Linked DNA regions of Schizosaccharomyces pombe. The protein of the gene in region 1 interacts with the protein of each later gene in a pairwise test. Each region holds a gene or a part of one and is shown on either strand. Other genes may lie near its edges.

The links.
Region 2: the proteins of shk2 (region 1) and rga8 interact in a two-hybrid assay, tested with the Schizosaccharomyces pombe proteins (one study listed by BioGRID).
Region 3: the proteins of shk2 (region 1) and skb1 interact in a two-hybrid assay, tested with the Schizosaccharomyces pombe proteins (one study listed by BioGRID).

What each region holds. Positions count from the first base shown.
Region 1 is NC_003424.3:270,805-275,802, forward strand, and holds shk2 (PAK-like kinase Shk2), read left to right. Parts: upstream 1-2,347; coding exon 2,348-4,117; downstream 4,118-4,998. Other genes in the region: fal1 (ATP-dependent RNA helicase), read right to left, coding at 216-1,312, 1,366-1,386, 1,453-1,519; plasma membrane stretch-activated calcium ion channel Yam8, read left to right, coding at 4,285-4,998. UniProt on the Schizosaccharomyces pombe protein: Forms an activated complex with GTP-bound Ras-like cdc42. Participates in Ras-dependent morphological control and mating response pathways.
Region 2 is NC_003424.3:569,974-576,872, forward strand, and holds rga8 (putatiRho-type GTPase-activating protein Rga8), read right to left. Parts: upstream 4,451-6,899; 5' UTR 4,399-4,450; coding exon 4,296-4,398; intron 4,252-4,295; coding exon 2,021-4,251; 3' UTR 1,833-2,020; coding exon of another isoform or gene 912-1,832; 3' UTR 780-911; downstream 1-779. Other genes in the region: mrf1 (peptide chain release factor), read left to right, coding at 263-433, 576-674, 912-1,832; erg11 (sterol 14-demethylase), read right to left, coding at 5,162-6,649. UniProt on the Schizosaccharomyces pombe protein: Acts in signal transduction. Negatively regulates the pak1/shk1 control pathway.
Region 3 is NC_003423.3:2,275,164-2,280,535, reverse strand, and holds skb1 (protein arginine N-methyltransferase Skb1), read right to left. Parts: upstream 3,282-5,372; 5' UTR 3,262-3,281; coding exon 3,072-3,261; exon of another isoform or gene 3,023-3,071; coding exon 1,524-3,022; exon of another isoform or gene 1,478-1,523; coding exon 1,289-1,477; 3' UTR 912-1,288; downstream 1-911. Other genes in the region: ATP-dependent RNA helicase Prp43, read right to left, coding at 1-773; SPOM_SPBC16H5.12C (uncharacterized protein), read right to left, coding at 3,829-5,372. UniProt on the Schizosaccharomyces pombe protein: S-adenosyl-L-methionine-dependent protein-arginine N-methyltransferase that can catalyze both the mono- and symmetric (type II) dimethylation of the guanidino nitrogens of arginine residues in target proteins.

The DNA.
Region 1 (4,998 bases):
ATTATTTATTATTAGGAGAAAATGCTAATACTTTTCTTTTGCAGGATCTTACAACCAAAAAATTATGATCTAAATGACACCAAAAAAATACGCATAGAAAGTTTTGGGTAACATAAATGGAAATTAATTTAAATATACAGTTATTATTTTAAAGTTTTCCCCCAAATCTGTACAATAATCCAAAAAAAACCAGCTTTTTTTTTCCAATGGAAAATTTAAACCATATCTCCTATATTCATAGGCATTTCATCTATAACAGTAGAATAGTATTGTTCAATATCCCGAAGAATGCGTACATCTTCATTTGTAACAAAATTAATAGCTACACCTTTACGACCAAATCGTCCACTGCGACCAATGCGATGTATATAGTTTTCTCGATTTGCAGGAAGATCGTAATTGATCACTAATGAAACTTGCTGAACATCAATTCCTCTTGCCCATATGTCTGTGCATATGAGAACCCTACTATTTCCTTGTCGAAAATCTTGCATGATAGCGTCTCTTTCTTTTTGCGGCATCTCACCGTGCATACTGGTAACGGTAAAGTTAGCTTCTCGCATTTTCTCCGTCAACCAATCAACCTTCCTACGAGAATTGCAAAATATCACAGCTTGTGTAATGGTTAAAGTATCATATAAATCACACAGAGTATCAAACTTCCATTCCTCTTTTTCAACTGCTATAAAGTACTGTTTTAAGCCTTCAAGAGTAAGTTCATCGCGCTTGACCAATATTCGAACAGGGTTAGTGGTAAACTTGTTAGTCATTTCTAACACGTCTTGAGGCAAGGTAGCACTCACAACTACCACCTGTGTACCAGGGGGTAAATATCTATAAATGTCATAAATTTGTTCCTTAAAGCCTTGATTTAAGAGCTCATCCGCTTCATCAAGAATAAGCATCTTAACATTGCGAGTTCGCAAATTTCGTCTACGAATCATGTCCGTTACGCGCCCAGGAGTGCCAGAAACAACGTGTTGTCCATAATCCAATTTTTTGATGTCATTTCCAACGGATGTGCCGCCTATACAAGCATGACATTGAACGTTCATATGGTCACCCAATGCAAGTACAACATTCTGGATTTGAACTGCCAATTCTCTCGTAGGAGAAAGTATTAAAGCTTGAGTATCTCGGACTGATAAATCGATCGACTGAAGAATACCAATAGAAAAAGTTGCTGTTTTCCCTGTACCAGATTGAGCTTGTGCGATAACGTCTCTCCCTTTACAGATTTGAATAATCGCCCGGCTTTGCACAGCACTCGGAGTCTCATAGCCATACGCATAGATTCCACGAAGTAAATCCTCTGCATGTTGTTAGAACAAAATTATGGAAATTTTTATCAATTCATTAACTAACCTTTAAGATTCATTTCCTCAACTGCAAAACAATGTTAGCATCATTCACAGTAAGTATTCATATTATAAAAAAATATAATTTACTTACAAGAGGATACAGCATTCACATCTTCCGATGTCGTAAGCTCCACGTTCTCCATTATTTCGTCCGCCATAATGGAAGTTGTAGTAGTTATGTTATGTCAGCCCAACTTGAGGAAAATGAAGGAGAGAAAATTTGACAAGCAAATAGAAAGCTTGGTTAGTTACAAAAATAAAAGAATATTCCTTTAAAAAATTTCAATTGTACGGAAAGCTTTATTAAATATTGACAAGAAGTTTAGATGAACTTATTATTCACATGTTGTTTATTTTCAGTACTCCCAACTTGTTAGATAATGGTATAAAAAGTAAACTAGCGGTTTCTTAGAATTAGACATTACACGAAAAAATTATGAGAGTCTTACATTAATTTTCTACAACTGGAGCAATGGTTGAACACCACCCTTAAGAGTCTAAACAACATTTCAATTCGTCCTAGAATTGTTATACTAATTTCCGTTTTAGCAATCTAAGTTCTCCTAGCACTAACATGCAAATTATCGGCTAGTCAAAACCCATTATCAATTAATGTTTCCTAACCAGAATTGCCCACCACTTCGCATAAATTCAGTTATACATTTCCATGCTAAAAATTACCTAAAATCACTCTCAGATATTATAAATGCTATACACAGTTTACATTTGTGAGCGTTGTCATGAATCTTGTAACCAATGTCATGTTCGCTTGCGATAAGATTGCAAATTGCAATTGTAAGACTTAATCTAATTAATTAAGAATTACTTTTCATCCACTACTGTTGACGTCAATTGACTTCTCTTTTCATAACATTTCTTTGTTTTTTGCATTCTCTTTGTTTATAAATGGGGTTTCTTTGTTTATACATTTGAGCTAAAATGTATAAAAGAAGCATGTATACCAAAACTATTGCATCGTTTTCAAAATGCTTTTAAGTGTAAGAGGCGTGCCGGTTGAAATTCCATCTCTCAAAGATACAAAGAAAAGCAAGGGAATCATTCGATCAGGATGGGTTATGCTGAAGGAAGATAAAATGAAGTATCTCCCTTGGACTAAAAAGTGGCTAGTACTTTCTAGCAATTCTCTGTCGATATATAAAGGAAGCAAGTCTGAAAGTGCTCAGGTTACGTTGCTGTTGAAGGATATTCAAAAAGTAGAGCGTTCAAAGTCTAGGACATTCTGCTTTAAATTGAGGTTCAAAAGTAGTACCAAAAATTTTGAGATTCAAGCTTGTGAATTGTCCGTGGCCGATAATATGGAATGTTATGAGTGGATGGATTTAATATCTTCTCGTGCGCTTGCTAGCAAAGTTTCAAGTCCGATGAATCCTAAACACCAAGTGCATGTGGGAATTGATAATGAAGGAAATTATGTCGGATTACCCAAGGAGTGGATATTGCTACTTCAGAGTAGTTCGATTACCAAACAAGAATGCATGGAGGAGCCGAAAGCAGTTATTCAAGCTTTGGATTTTTATAGTAAGCAGTTGGATACAACAAGCGAAACTAAAGATAGTTTTTCATTTTGCAAAGAGACACTGCCACGATCCTCTACTACATCGTATTCTATTCGCGATGCTGACAAACATCATAAACTCACGACATCTGGAGTTACTAAAATGAATATTACTGAAAGATGCAAGCCGAAGACAACCATACAGACGGATAAAAAGCATATCATAAGGCCTTTTATTGAAGACAAAAGTCATGTAGAATCTATCATGACCGGAAAAGTAACCAAAGTACCGGTCAAAGCAGATTCAAAGAACACGTTGAGTAGAAGAATGACTGATAGACAGGCTTTAGCCATGTTAAAAGACTCAGTTACTTCTCATGATCCTGTCGAATATTTTAATGTTAAGCATAAACTTGGCCAGGGTGCATCGGGATCTGTTTACTTAGCCAAAGTCGTCGGAGGAAAACAATTAGGTATTTTTGACTCAGTTGCAATAAAAAGTATTGATTTGCAGTGCCAAACAAGAAAGGAACTAATCTTAAACGAAATCACTGTCATGAGAGAATCGATTCATCCTAACATAGTGACATATTTAGATTCATTTCTTGTTCGAGAAAGGCATTTATGGGTTGTGATGGAGTACATGAACGCTGGATCTTTGACTGATATTATTGAAAAAAGTAAGCTTACAGAAGCACAAATTGCTCGTATTTGTCTAGAAACGTGCAAGGGAATTCAGCATCTGCACGCCAGAAATATTATTCACAGAGATATTAAAAGTGACAATGTTTTACTCGACAACTCTGGAAATATTAAAATTACTGACTTTGGATTTTGTGCTCGATTGTCTAACCGTACTAATAAACGAGTTACGATGGTTGGAACACCATATTGGATGGCCCCTGAAGTAGTAAAGCAAAACGAATATGGGACCAAAGTTGATATATGGAGTCTTGGAATTATGATTATAGAGATGATTGAAAACGAACCGCCTTATCTCAGAGAGGATCCAATTCGTGCATTGTATCTGATAGCAAAAAATGGAACTCCAACTCTTAAAAAACCTAATTTAGTTTCTAAAAACTTAAAATCTTTCTTAAATTCCTGTCTTACAATCGATACCATTTTTAGAGCTACTGCTGCTGAGTTGCTGACACATTCATTTCTTAACCAAGCATGTCCGACTGAAGATCTAAAATCTATCATTTTCTCTCGCAAAGCGAATACCCATATTAATTAGGTCCAAAATTTACTTTTATGATTATTTGAATATTTTTAACGATCCTTAATGATATACAACTTGCTAGTTTTTTAGAAATTTCAATTAACTTCTCAATTTGCATGTGCGAAACTTTTGAGCTTACTTTTGAATATTAAAGCCTTGAAAGTAATTACTAAAGGTTCTATATGTTTTTTTTTAGCACCCATTTAATTTTGAAGATACTCTTTTTCTGGTCGATAACTAGAAACATATTTGGCGCTACTTATACTAGCTTGCTGCTGAACAATACCATAAATGGTAATATAAATGATCAAAGCACTGCTTACTATAACTTAACATGGGAAGGAAACACAGCTTACAACGTTAGTCTAACTTTATCAACCTGCACTGCTTTTGATGGCGCGAACGATTTGATGTTATATATATCGAACAATACGTTTGACGAAGCTCTTCCTTTAGATAATTTTACGATTACTGCTTCTGAAAATGGTCTAGCAACGATATTTGTAACCGGCTACTCACCTTTATATATTGCTGTGTCCAGTGCTTTTTCTCAATTTGCTCCCAATTTTTTTGTCGAGTCAGGTGAATCTACTTTAGAAGGTAATAATGTGATTAATTATGAATTAGCTGCTGGAATTGACACTCCCTTTAGTCAATACAATGCAACTAAATTTCTGTTTGCCCAGGACACCGACTTTCAAGCAGCACTACTCATTACGGGAAATCTCACTACAAATGAGACCTCCATCATCCCTTCTTATGAGATATATGTCAACCCTTCTAACTCCACTTATGATAACACATTTAACAAATTTTCAAGTTCTTTCTGTGCTTTTCAAAACAACCCCTCAACTGTTAACACTAACAATGCTGATCGCTCAATGACCCTTCGTGGT
Region 2 (6,899 bases), 300 kb from region 1:
TAGCAAACTCTTTCTAGGTGTATAGATTCGTAAAAAAAATTTACGAGTTAAGAATGCGTACACAAAATTTTACTTTGCTGTGCACTGTCGGATTATAATGCATATCCGACAGAATTTGCAAGGACCTCCTTAAATATCATAAAAGTACTTATCGAAGAAGCACACCAAGGTCAGAAAGGCGGTTTTAACAGGTTAACACTAATTAGTTTTACTGCTAATTCTTTGAGTATGCAGAAATAAAAGAAACTCAAAATACAAGGTGATGCTTCTAACTAAAAAAGTTTTATGGTACTTTAGACATGGAATTGAATATCAAATTCGTAGCATTGCTTGCAAAAAAGGATACTCTGAGCATAACGTTTCAAGAGTACTTATTGAAAAAGCCCGATCGCTTTCTTCAGAGTATCTTCAATTCCATCAAGTAAATAATAAAGTAAGTGTCGGCAAACAAAGTGTGAAATCAGCCTGCTACTGTTCGAGATACAATAATAATGGTAATACAAGCATACCGGACATTAAGCTTTACTCATGAAAAATTAAAATCTGATATAAATGATCTAACTTATATCTTTTAGGATCAATCGGCAATGACAAACGATACAGATTTAGCAAAGCGAATCGCTAGGCTTCGACGCGTTCATAATGCATATTCGAAATTTAAAAGTTTGTCTGAGGTATGATATAAGACGAATTTGTCTCAAACTTGTAGTCAAAAGCTTTCCTTTTTTTTATTACTCTTCCTATTTATAGTAATCGATTTACAATGGTTTTTTTTTGCTAATGGGTCTATAACTTAAGACTTTTGCCAGGCATTTACTGTTTATCTAAGTAAAGCTATTTGATGAGCATGTTGAAATACTTAAATAACTAGTTTTTGAAAACCTTGATTTAAAAAAATTCTAACAATTTAGCAAATAAGCGATTTGAAACAAATGGAGGCCCAAGAGTCAGATGCAGAGGTTAAAATGATGGCAGTGACTGAAATAAACGAAATAAGTAATAAAATACCAAAAAGCATAGAAGATCTTGAAAACACATTACTTCCACAAGCTGATTCATATGCTCTTCCTGCATTAATCGAAATTCGTCCTGGTGTAGGAGGAACAGAGGCCGCAATATTTGCAAATGAACTAGTGGAAATGTATTTTCAGTATGCAAATTTTAAAGGATGGAATTGCAAATTTATATCAAAAAGTGCAGTCCAAGGACTTGAAGCGATAACGGAGGCCATCTTCTCTATTGAAGGTGAGGGAGCTTATGGTCATCTTATGTTGGAAGGAGGTGTTCATAGGGTTCAGAGGACTCCTGCTACCGAAACTAAAGGAAGAGTTCATACGAGTACTGCATCAGTAATCGTTTTACCTCAGGTGTCAAATGATGAATCCTCTTCTCTTTACGATTCATCTGAAGTTAAAATCGAAGTAATGAGATCTCGTGGAGCCGGTGGACAACACGTTAATAGAACAGAATCCGCCGTACGTTTAACACACATACCCACTGGTATCACTGTTAGCATGCAAGATTCTCGTTCTCAGCATCAAAACAAAGAAAAGGCATTTCTTGTACTGAATTCAAGATTGGCTGCCTTAAATGCCGCAAAAGAAAATGAGGCTGAAAGACTGAAACGTAAAAATCAAGTAACGTCTTCAGATCGTTCGGAAAAGCTACGAACTTATAACTTCAACCAAAATCGAGTAACTGATCATCGGATAGGTTTAAGCATGCACGATTTATCAACATTTATGCAAGGTGAAGAAAAATTTGACGAGTTTTTGGAAAAAATAAGAATATGGAATCGTGAACAGTTGCTATTACACTCTGAAATAGTATAGGAATGCTAATTTAGTCTAGTAAAATAGGAAGGTACAATAATATATGGTGGTCAAACTTCTATAGAGAAAAATGTTTATTAGGTATATGCAATGAATAATGAGAAAAGAATGTGCAACATGTCATGCAAATAAGATATCCATAACTGATCTTTAAAAAAGATCATAGGTTAACTCATAATAACATATTTTTAACTACCACTTAAACTGGAATCTCTTGAGGCGACTGCTTCGTTCACTATCTTTGCATCCTGATCAATAAAGATTGCGGCACTTTCATTGGAAGCAGAAGAATGGCTGAAATTACGTCTTGTCTTTCTAGTATTCAAGGCATACGACGATCTGATCAATGAGGTGGGCACATTTTCAAGAGTAAATTCAGATTCAGCGGGAATTTCTGAAGGTTGCAGCTCCTCAAACGAAGATCTTGGAGATTCGACAGCAGTATGAGATCGGACAGAAGAAATGGAGTCTGGTCTAGTTGGTGATACATCTGTACTCCGAGGAGTAGCAGAAGATTGATATAATACACGGTCAGAAACACGTTTGGATGAATTCAATTTTCTGAGTTCTTCAAAAATACTTGGTCCGTAAGTTAAAAGATCCTCCATGAACTTCGTTGGGTGCTTATCATGTTGAATACCCAAATTCCATGTTGCTGGACGGGAAATGCATAAAGATAAGGAGTTAGCTAAATTTATAGTAAAAGTTTCTTTATTTGGAGTAAGCGTAATCAAGCGATTTAGATGAGTAATGATGGCACTCAAAGTAGCAAGATTAACACGTCGAAGTTGGGATAAAAGATTTTGTAAAAGTCTCAACCTGTACGGCGTATCATTACTATGATTCATGTAAATTGAACGAATAAGCTCAAAAGCAGAAGAAGGAACGATGGAATCAGGGAGTTCAAGAAAGTATAGCTTCAAAACTCCTATCACAACGGAGGGAGTATACTGTGATAAAACCTCCTTTGTCACGGATGAAGAATGATTCAACGCTTCTCGAAGTTGATGTACAGAAGACAAGGGAGAATTAACAAGCCATATATTTTGACGAACTTCATCAGAGGCAAGCGTAGGATATAACAGATCTAAATAAGAAAGGATCGTACTAACGATTATGGGAACACGTTTCTTATCTCTATGAGACAAAAACTCAACGTCCACTCCAAAAATCTGATCTTTAATATCATTATAATAATCCTCATATATTTCGACACGAGGTAAAAATGGACCAGTAGCTGCAGACTCTAAAATATACCTAATGTCACTCTCAGGTTGAATTATTTCCTGATAAACAACAATCTGATCAGCCAGCAATTTCATGGAAGGCAAAAAGTTCGAAATAATTGTTGATAAATCCATAAAAAAATCTTTATAATAAAGAACGCGATCGGTTTCACATTTTTGAAGAAATTGCAAATGATCAGCAATAGTTTCTTCCACAAGTGTGCGGCATTTATCAAGATCAACGACTGATTCGCTGTAAATTTTATTTGCATCCAGAACTTCTCTTTTAAGACGTTGAGATTGAGTTTCTGAAGAGTAAAGCTTTCGATGACTTATATAATCAGAAAGATATTCACCAACTAATGGTAAAGCCTTGGCGTTTTCGACAAGACTATCTACACTATTCAGTCCTGCAAACTGGAAAGCCTTGTCTTTCCACTGATAATGGAAGTTGGTACTATTCACAAAACTACCTCCAACGCCCATATGACGCAAAAATCCTTGAGCTATCAAATCTTGTCCAAATGCCTCGGCTGCAACTAAAGTTGGAACAGGAAGATTTTCCTGAAGCCAAGAAACAATAATATTTCCTGAACATGTATTAGGGTAAGTACCTAAGATAGGGACGCGATAATCCTGTAAGGGTATTTCTTGTAATACTTGAGCCAAAACCTCTTTTAACTCCTCAGGCCTAAACTCCATAAAACCAAGTTGAATCAGATCATCATCATTTTCCAACAATGATTGCTGCTGTGGACTAGAAACTGTTGTTAAGTCAGTAATAGCCTCACTAGTAGTTTCATTGGACTCCTTTGATTCTTCTTCATAATCTTCAAGGTTTCTACATTTGTTGTAGTAAGCGCTTTTTGTTTTTTTAAGTGTATAGTATTTCTTTTCATAACTCTTTATTTGATTGGTAAGAACTTGTTGGCTGGTTTGTAACTTCTGAGAATGATCAATAGACATTTTAGAGAAAGGAGCAATAATTAGCGTTTCTAAGTCCTTGGCAATACGAATATGTTGCTTTCCTTGATTAGCAATCTCGGAGCGCAACCCTTCAAAAGCCTTGTTAGAAGTAGCACCGTCTTCTGTATTCTCTGGCTTTTTCCCTTTTAGACATTCTTTCGTTATTTCTTGAAGCTTTTCACCAAATTCCTCATTCGCTTCTTTATATAACTTCAACAAGTTTTTTACTATTCGTTGTTAGAGGAAGTCCTATATTAATTTATTTAAATACCTTGCTCATTCTCTTCAACTCCATTATCCAGGCAATCGAAAAGTTTTTTCACACCAGTCGCGTAGTCTTTACTCCAAAAACCATTTGAAAAGCTCGATATCATTTCAATTCGAGACTGAAACTGTCACAACCTGTCAAGAAATATAGAGGTGGTTGACATGTCTACGCCCTTTATTACTCAACTTAAGTAAATAGCGAATTGCTACGCAGAAAAGTTTTACCCATCAAGGATGCCAAAAGTATCCAGTAAATAAGACAACAGATACGTTACTTGACACACATAAGATAGCATACCACTAATCCTTTATAAAATGTAAACTTCATTCAGTTGAATAGCAGCCTACGCTTTTACCCACTTTGTATTATTAATGCTATGGTTGGATCGATGGTACAATTAAAAACTACAAAATTTTAATTAATAGCTTACTGAGAAACCTTGCGTTTGCACGATGAGGTTTTGAAAAGAGAGAGTAGCGTACTTTATTGTTATAATGCCTACATGAAAACGAAAGAGAGCGTCCCGACGTTATTAAAACTATAATATCGTAAAAATGTATCACTAATGATGACAGGGTAGTTTTCATATCGATTTAGTGCGAGGATAAGGAAGTTTGAAATTGCATAATACATTCTTTTGACATTTGAAATGCTACCAAATAGTCATTTAAAACGCTAAAATATTTACAATTTCATAAAACAATAAAGCACTTAAAATTTAAAATGTCTAGCAAATTTCATGGTTATTCGTTACTCGTCAGATAAAACAAAAACGTTTAACACGGGCATGAAAAGAGAAAGGCGGAACCAAAGTTAGAAACCAATACCATAAGCGTATTGCAAATGCATTCAAATTAGGGGAAATTCCCTTAATTACGACGCTTCCAAGCAATTTTAACAGGACCCAAGGGAAGAGCAACCATACTGGAATAGTCAACGTTGGGAACTTTTCCAATAAGAGTCCAGGTGTAATCGTGTACAAACTTGCTAATAATAGTGCTCAAATGCATGTAGGCAAATTGCTCACCAATGCAACGATGACGACCAGCTCCAAAGGGTAGGTATGGAGAAGCAGCACCCTTTGTAACGAGACCATAACCATAATCAATTTGCTCAGCATTTTCGTCTTCATTGACGCGGTCATTCCAGCGCTTGGGGTCAAAGTCAGTAGCATGAGTGAAGTATTCCTCTTCAGTAGCAGTTAAACCGGGAGCAGCAAGAAGATAGTTGTTGGCAGGGATAACAATCTTTGAACCAGGGACGGGTAAGTCACGTTTGACTTTACGCATATGACTGTGGATAGGGGGATGGAGTCTAAGAGTTTCTTGAATAACATAGTTGAGAAGAGGCATGTCCTTATATTGGTCAAACTTCAATTCCAAGTTTTCACCTACAACACGCTTCTGCTCTTCCCACAACATTTCAATGATTTCAGGTTTGCTACCCAAAAGAGCAAGAACCCAAACGATAGTGGCAGCAGAGGTGTGTTGACCAGCCATCAAAAGTGCAATCATCATACCAGCAATTTCATGTTCCTTCAAAGGACGGCCATCTCTATACTTGCAGCTCATCAAAGTCCAAATCATATCAGTACCAGGATTTTCAGTGCTAGAGCGACGATCTTTAATAATTTTAAGATAAGTTTTTTGCATAATTTTGTGGGCTCTATCACGGCGTCTGTTTCTAGGGAGAGGTAACCAAGGGAAAACAAAGTTAACAGGGCTAAATCCTTGATCAAGGTCATGGTACAAGTCAGCGAAACCAGCGTCAAAGCCCTTGCGAACCTCAGCACCTTGTAAAGTACGAGAAGCAGTGTAAATAGTCATGACAGGCATGGTCTTCAGCAAATCAGCAACGCCTTCCTTACCAGGTCCGAAGTCAGGAGAAGTGCTGAGAAAAGCATCCATTTCGTTAAGAATGAGGGGGACATAAGAGCGGAATTGAGAGAAGCCAAGACCAGATTTGATAAACTTCTTGTGCTCCATAAAAACATGGTTGGGAATATCGTAAACGACATCTTTACCGAATACAGGGGTAGTTAAATGAGAGTAAGCTTCTTCAGCATTCAAATCAGCTAATTTACCGTTAAAGAGGAAATCATTACCTTGGACACCAAGGAAAGCGGTCATTTTACGACCCATGCAAACAAAGGTGAAAACATCACCATATTTGGCACGACACTCGCGAAAAAATACATAAGGGTCCATACCGTATGCGACAGCAGAACCTACAAAGGGTATCCAATGGAAGACAATTGGGGGGCGTTTGCTATTGCGAGAGGTAAGTTGGTTAATAATATAACCAACATACCAAGCCAATGCAATCGATAATAAAATCGAAACTAAAGAGAATGCCATCCTGACTTATGAAAAAAAAAGTAATGCTCAAGTGGGTAAAGCAGGTAAAAAATAATCAGACGAAAAAAATAAAATCAGTCAGTAAAGTAGTAAGGGGTAAGCAGATAGCAACCAAAAACGAATAAGACCAACCAAAAAACAACGACAACAACAACAAATGTGTAACAGATAAAAATAGTTCAACCCTTTGAGCTAATGCAAATAAACTTGAAAAAGAAAAGGAGAAAGAAAAAATGAATTGATTAACACG
Region 3 (5,372 bases), on another chromosome or scaffold:
ATTTCAACAGGGTAAGTTCTACCTGGAACAGCTAAAAGGGGAGCATCAAAAAAGTATTTTTGAAACTTTTTAGCATCCAAAGTTGCAGACATGACAATAATCTTAAGGTCGGGTCTACGTGTAGCCAAACGCTTCATTAGACCCATCAAAATATCAGTTGCCAAGGTACGCTCATGTGCTTCATCAAGAATAATACAAGAATAACGAGAGAGCATATGGTCTGTCATGGCTTCACGCAAAAGCATACCATCTGTCATATATTTTAACAGAGTGTTAGGTCCACTACAGTCTTCAAAACGAATGTTGTAACCAACTTCCTCGCCCAAGTCAACGTCCATTTCGTCAGCGACACGTTTTGCAACGGACATAGCTGCAACACGACGTGGTTGAGTACATGCAATTTGTGTATTTGTTAAATGAGGCAATTCATCATAAAGAACAAACTGAGGAATTTGTGTTGTTTTACCAGAACCAGTTTCACCAACGAAAACAATAATTTGATTCTCGTGATAAATTTTGAGAAATTCTTCTCTTTGCTGGTATACAGGAAGCTCTCTTCGAGTTTCCAAAATCTTAAAATAATTTTGACTAAAAGGTTTATCATTAAAAAAATTGTTTGGTCCTTCTTCAGCCTTAGCTGCTTGTGCAACAGTCGTAGCACGTCGCGTCAACCCTTTCGAAGAAACAACTTCCTCAGAATCATCACCATTGTTTAAGTGTGCCAAATACGGGTTCTTTGACTCTTGCCTTAGTTTCTTCTGAGCTGGTTCCATAGTCGAAAATCGCCCTTATATAAACCCTTCCCACAATTCTGTAAATGGCGAAGAACACAGTGCATACTCCGTACTACAAGCAGTTAAAGAATTTTCCAACAAACCATCTATCTTAACATTCGTTATATAAAATTGAGTGGCATAACGCAATGCGTTGTTAATTTTCAAGTTCGGACTAATATAATACATTAATGAAAATTAATTAACTAGTATAGTAAGCAAATGACAGGGTATTTCAGTTGAATGAATTTGCCTGTTAATTAATTGTGTAAAAAGGAATGTTTAAGAACAATAGTTAAAATTCTGGCAAATCGTTTAAGACAATAAGTATAGGAGCATTACTCCTTCTTTCTCAGCAAAATCTTGATTGTAACAGCTATCCTAAAACTAATCGACTTTTGTTAAATTCAGATTTAACTAAATCCAAAAAATTTTTATAATCAAAACTCCAAAAAAATGGTTTGAAGACCCGTTTTAAACCATAAACAATAATGTAAAAGAAGGACTATTAATTTTTAATACATATTACACGAGAACGCTTTTCCGGAAATGTTGTGGACCTCCGTAGAAGACAACTTGATTTGACTTCCATTCCGCAACACCAGATAGGCATTGGCACACCACTCAAACCAAACCCGCATACCGTCCGTCAATCGCCACATGTGAAATTCCAATTGGCTGTTTTCTGGGACGTACATGGGTTTCTAGGAAATATTAGTATACAGTGCAACGTAAAATATAGTAACTTACCTTAATGGGCATATAAATAGGGAACCATGAAAACATGTCAGGAGACTTCGCTTCCATAGTTGCTGGCATAATTGAAAGAGAAATATCCTTATATAATGTAGCTTCAAAATATCCTGCAAAACCGTGAAGGATTCCAGGACTAGAGGCCTGAAAACGAACACTAGCAAAACGTTTGTTATGCAAGTTTTTAGTATAAACCTCACTATCTTTGTTTGGGTGATGGAAGGACCAAAGGGACTGAAAACGGAACTCATCATCTGCAGCCAAAAAGTCAAATGAGTTCATTAAAACCACGTACTGTCTTTCAAAAGCATTTGGGTCATTCATATTACGAGCTTCAGACCATAGCTTAGGAGACATAATAGGAGTAACATAGGAGATGTAAGAAGATGGAATGCATATCCCAGTTTCTTCATCAAGCACATGTTGTACACCATCTAGACACTCCGGACTAAGTTCATTGTCTCCCATACTACCCAAAAGTTCACTAACAAGGATGTCAATTTTATAATCAGGATTCCATGTTCTCATATCTCCAAATACTAGAGTAACTTTGCCAGCCCAATCCTGGCGGTTTCTCATCAATAGCATGGAAAAAGCGTTAGGATTTTTCTCAAGGGCGATCATATCAACCGTTCTAGATGAAGAAATTGCCGCACGTAAAGCACAGTCGACTAATGGACCTCTTCCCGCACCCACAACGGCAATTCGCGTGACAGAAGATTCGTCTCTATCCATCAACGCAGAAAAAATTGCTTGCTCATACTGGGCGTACTTAACGGGATCTCGCTCAAATATTTCATAAGTAATGTTTTCCAAATTGTAGCTCAATGGTTGAAGAGGAACTTGCAGATAGTCTTTATAAGAATCCGCGAGATCTTCTACAAGTGGAGCTGGAGGCTGTGAATCAAAGAGGTGCTTCATATATATGCTGTAGTCGGGGGAATCACCTATTTTCTCGGGTGCGTCATTATCCCAAAGTAAAATTCGAGGATTGAGACGTAGATATAAAGCATAAATAGCCCTCAACTTACGACCAAGTACTGGATAGCCGTTGGGATTAGGAACGAAAGCCATACATGACATAGTAATCATCTCTATCGGTTCCGCGTACCATCGATTTACTAGCTCGATTGGGGGTGAACAAGCGGGAGGTAGCTCTAAGGCCACCTTCAATCTAGGGTGATAACCACATGCTGAGCGAATTGTGTCCCACATTTTCCATGTCTCAAAATAGTCTTCATGACCACTTTCGATTGCCAATTGTACCAAGAATTTTAGATTCATTGTTGAGTTTAAAGCAGAAGATACAGCTCTCGCATAACGCATAACGTTCATTGGTGAAGTTGGACCATTTAGGATGATTGAAGATAACCCACAATAAGAAGCATATGATGCTTCCTTTAATAACACTTCTTCTGATCGATCAGCGATTAGTGTGTCTTCAGAATCTAACTCCAGCCAAGCTGAGGATAAACCGACCACCTTGTGCACATTTTCTATAGTAAAATTGGTTAATATAAATTTTCTTTCAAATTTGAAACATACCCTCAGGGTGATAAGCTACTTCATCGTCGAGGAATTCCTGCAAACGCTCTGACGGAGCTAGAGCTTCAACTCGTAGCTTTAAACCTTCACCACTTAACGGAACTCCAACAAACTCAAAACCCTCTTCCAAAGACAAGGAAATGGTCCCCTCTGAACAAACTATTCCTAGAGTGGGCGTTTTAGAATTCATCGGCGGAACTGGCAATGGGTAAATACTGTACTGTGGAATACGGCCATCCCGCAATAACATACGGTAAGGGTTGGGACCTTGTGTTGCAAAAACAAAAAAAAATTGTTTAGTTGAGTAGCTAGCTTATTGTTTGTGAGTGTTTTAAATTTCAACTTGGTTATTTAATTAATGAATTTGATCTATTAAAACTTACATCTTTTCTAAGAAGAAAAGGCTAATAACTGCTATTCTAGCATAAAGTAATTAATTATTTTTACTATATAGTTTTCTGCGAATCAATCTTGTCAAAAATCACTTTATTATTTCTAAACAAAGTCGATATGAAAGAAAGTAAAGTAAGCACCCTTTTGTCAATGACAACCGAATTCGAAAAAGATATCTTAAAAGAGTCATATCAGTTATTTTGGCTTCGCAGTTATTGAGGTAAATGAGTGCGTCAGATAAATTTCATGAAAACTTCATCATTCATGAGGTAAACTTTTGCATTAACATCAGTAAAAAGGTGAAAAGATGGTATAAAAATCAGTTCTAAAACAGCATTGAAAACAGTGCAAAAAATATTCATCATTAACCATGGGTAGTAGGTTCAGCGCTTTGTTTATTGACACTTCCACCGCTTTGTAATGGACGAGGATGCTGCATTCTGTTCATTCGGCCGCCTCGTCCACGTCCACGATTGGTACGCATTCCAGTTCCATGTCCCTCCATCCGGTTATTTCGATACCATCCTCTATTTTGACGATAGTACGAATCATCACGCATGATATTCACCCGCACACCTTCTGGAACTTTGATGCTTCCAAGGGCCTTTGAAACAGCATTCTGGTTTTCAACAAATACATATGCATAGTTAGTGGGGTTTACGTTTTGAGGAGCTTGGGGACTTTTGTAACGATTGAGTGAAGTACGAATTTGAATATTCGTAATCAGGCTGTCTGTCCCGTCCTTAAAGTAAGAACGGGCTTCCTCTTCAGAATTGCAAGGGGTAATATGAAATCCACAACGTTCATAACGCTGCTCACCACTATATTGACGGAATTCACGATCGTTGCCCTTCTGCATATCAGTTCTTCTACCTTCTTGTGCTTGAGATCTTGTAACATTTGCAGCATTCTCTTGTTCAAGTATGGTAACCTCTGTAGTCGTCTCACCTAGCTCGAGATTTCCAGTACCCTTAGTCACCTCTTCAACGTCAACTTCCTCTTTCCCTCCAATTGCTGGTTGTTCTTCTTCATTAGGACTAGGCTTCTCTGCTACGCCAGAAATGGGTTCTTCCTCGGCAGCAGGTGGTCCCGACTTCTCTTCGATTACTTCATGAGTCTCAGCCGACTCTTCTGTAGTATTCGCTCTTGACATTCCTAGCTCATCAGTATGTTCCTGATCGTACCCTTCAATCTGTTCTTCTTCGGTTGGTGTAGCCGTAGCTTCTCTGTTCTTGGTAAACTGTGCTTGAGATTCCACCAACCTATTGTTAGCGTAATAATAGGTACCGGTATTTTCCGAAGTTGAGCGTGGAATGTGAGATGCATAATTTTCGTTACGACGTGAAGCCATGCGACGATAGCCTAAATTAAAGCCATGAGATTTGCTTTCCACTTGAACATGCCCATTTTCGACGACAAAAACAGTCCATCCAAAGGAAGCATCTAATAAATTGAAGTTCCATAGGTTTTTAAAAGCAGTGCCGGGAAGCATGTTATTCATAGCATATGAGTTAGTTGCATCGGGCATGCGAGAGACTAGGCGAACAACATTGTTTATTAGATGATGTTGTTCAGGGGTAACCATCTTCTCAACCTCAGCCTTAACAGTGTCATACACTTCCATAAACTGTGCACGGGCAGCCGAAAGTTTTTGAAGATAATGTTCAGGACTATGATTTACGCAAAACTCATTGTAGCTAGCTCCATAACGAAAATGAAGACCGGCGGATAAAGTCAGGTCAGCCTGGCAAGCAGTAGCTAATTGAGAAAGAACACCTTCTCTTCCAATGGGATGATGCGTAATAAAAATACGTGCCTCCTCTCTGTCAAGCAGGCTCTTAGCGGTTTCTATTAGTTCACCCATTTGAAGGATTGTAGTCCACATAGTACCCTGGCCACCAGCAATAG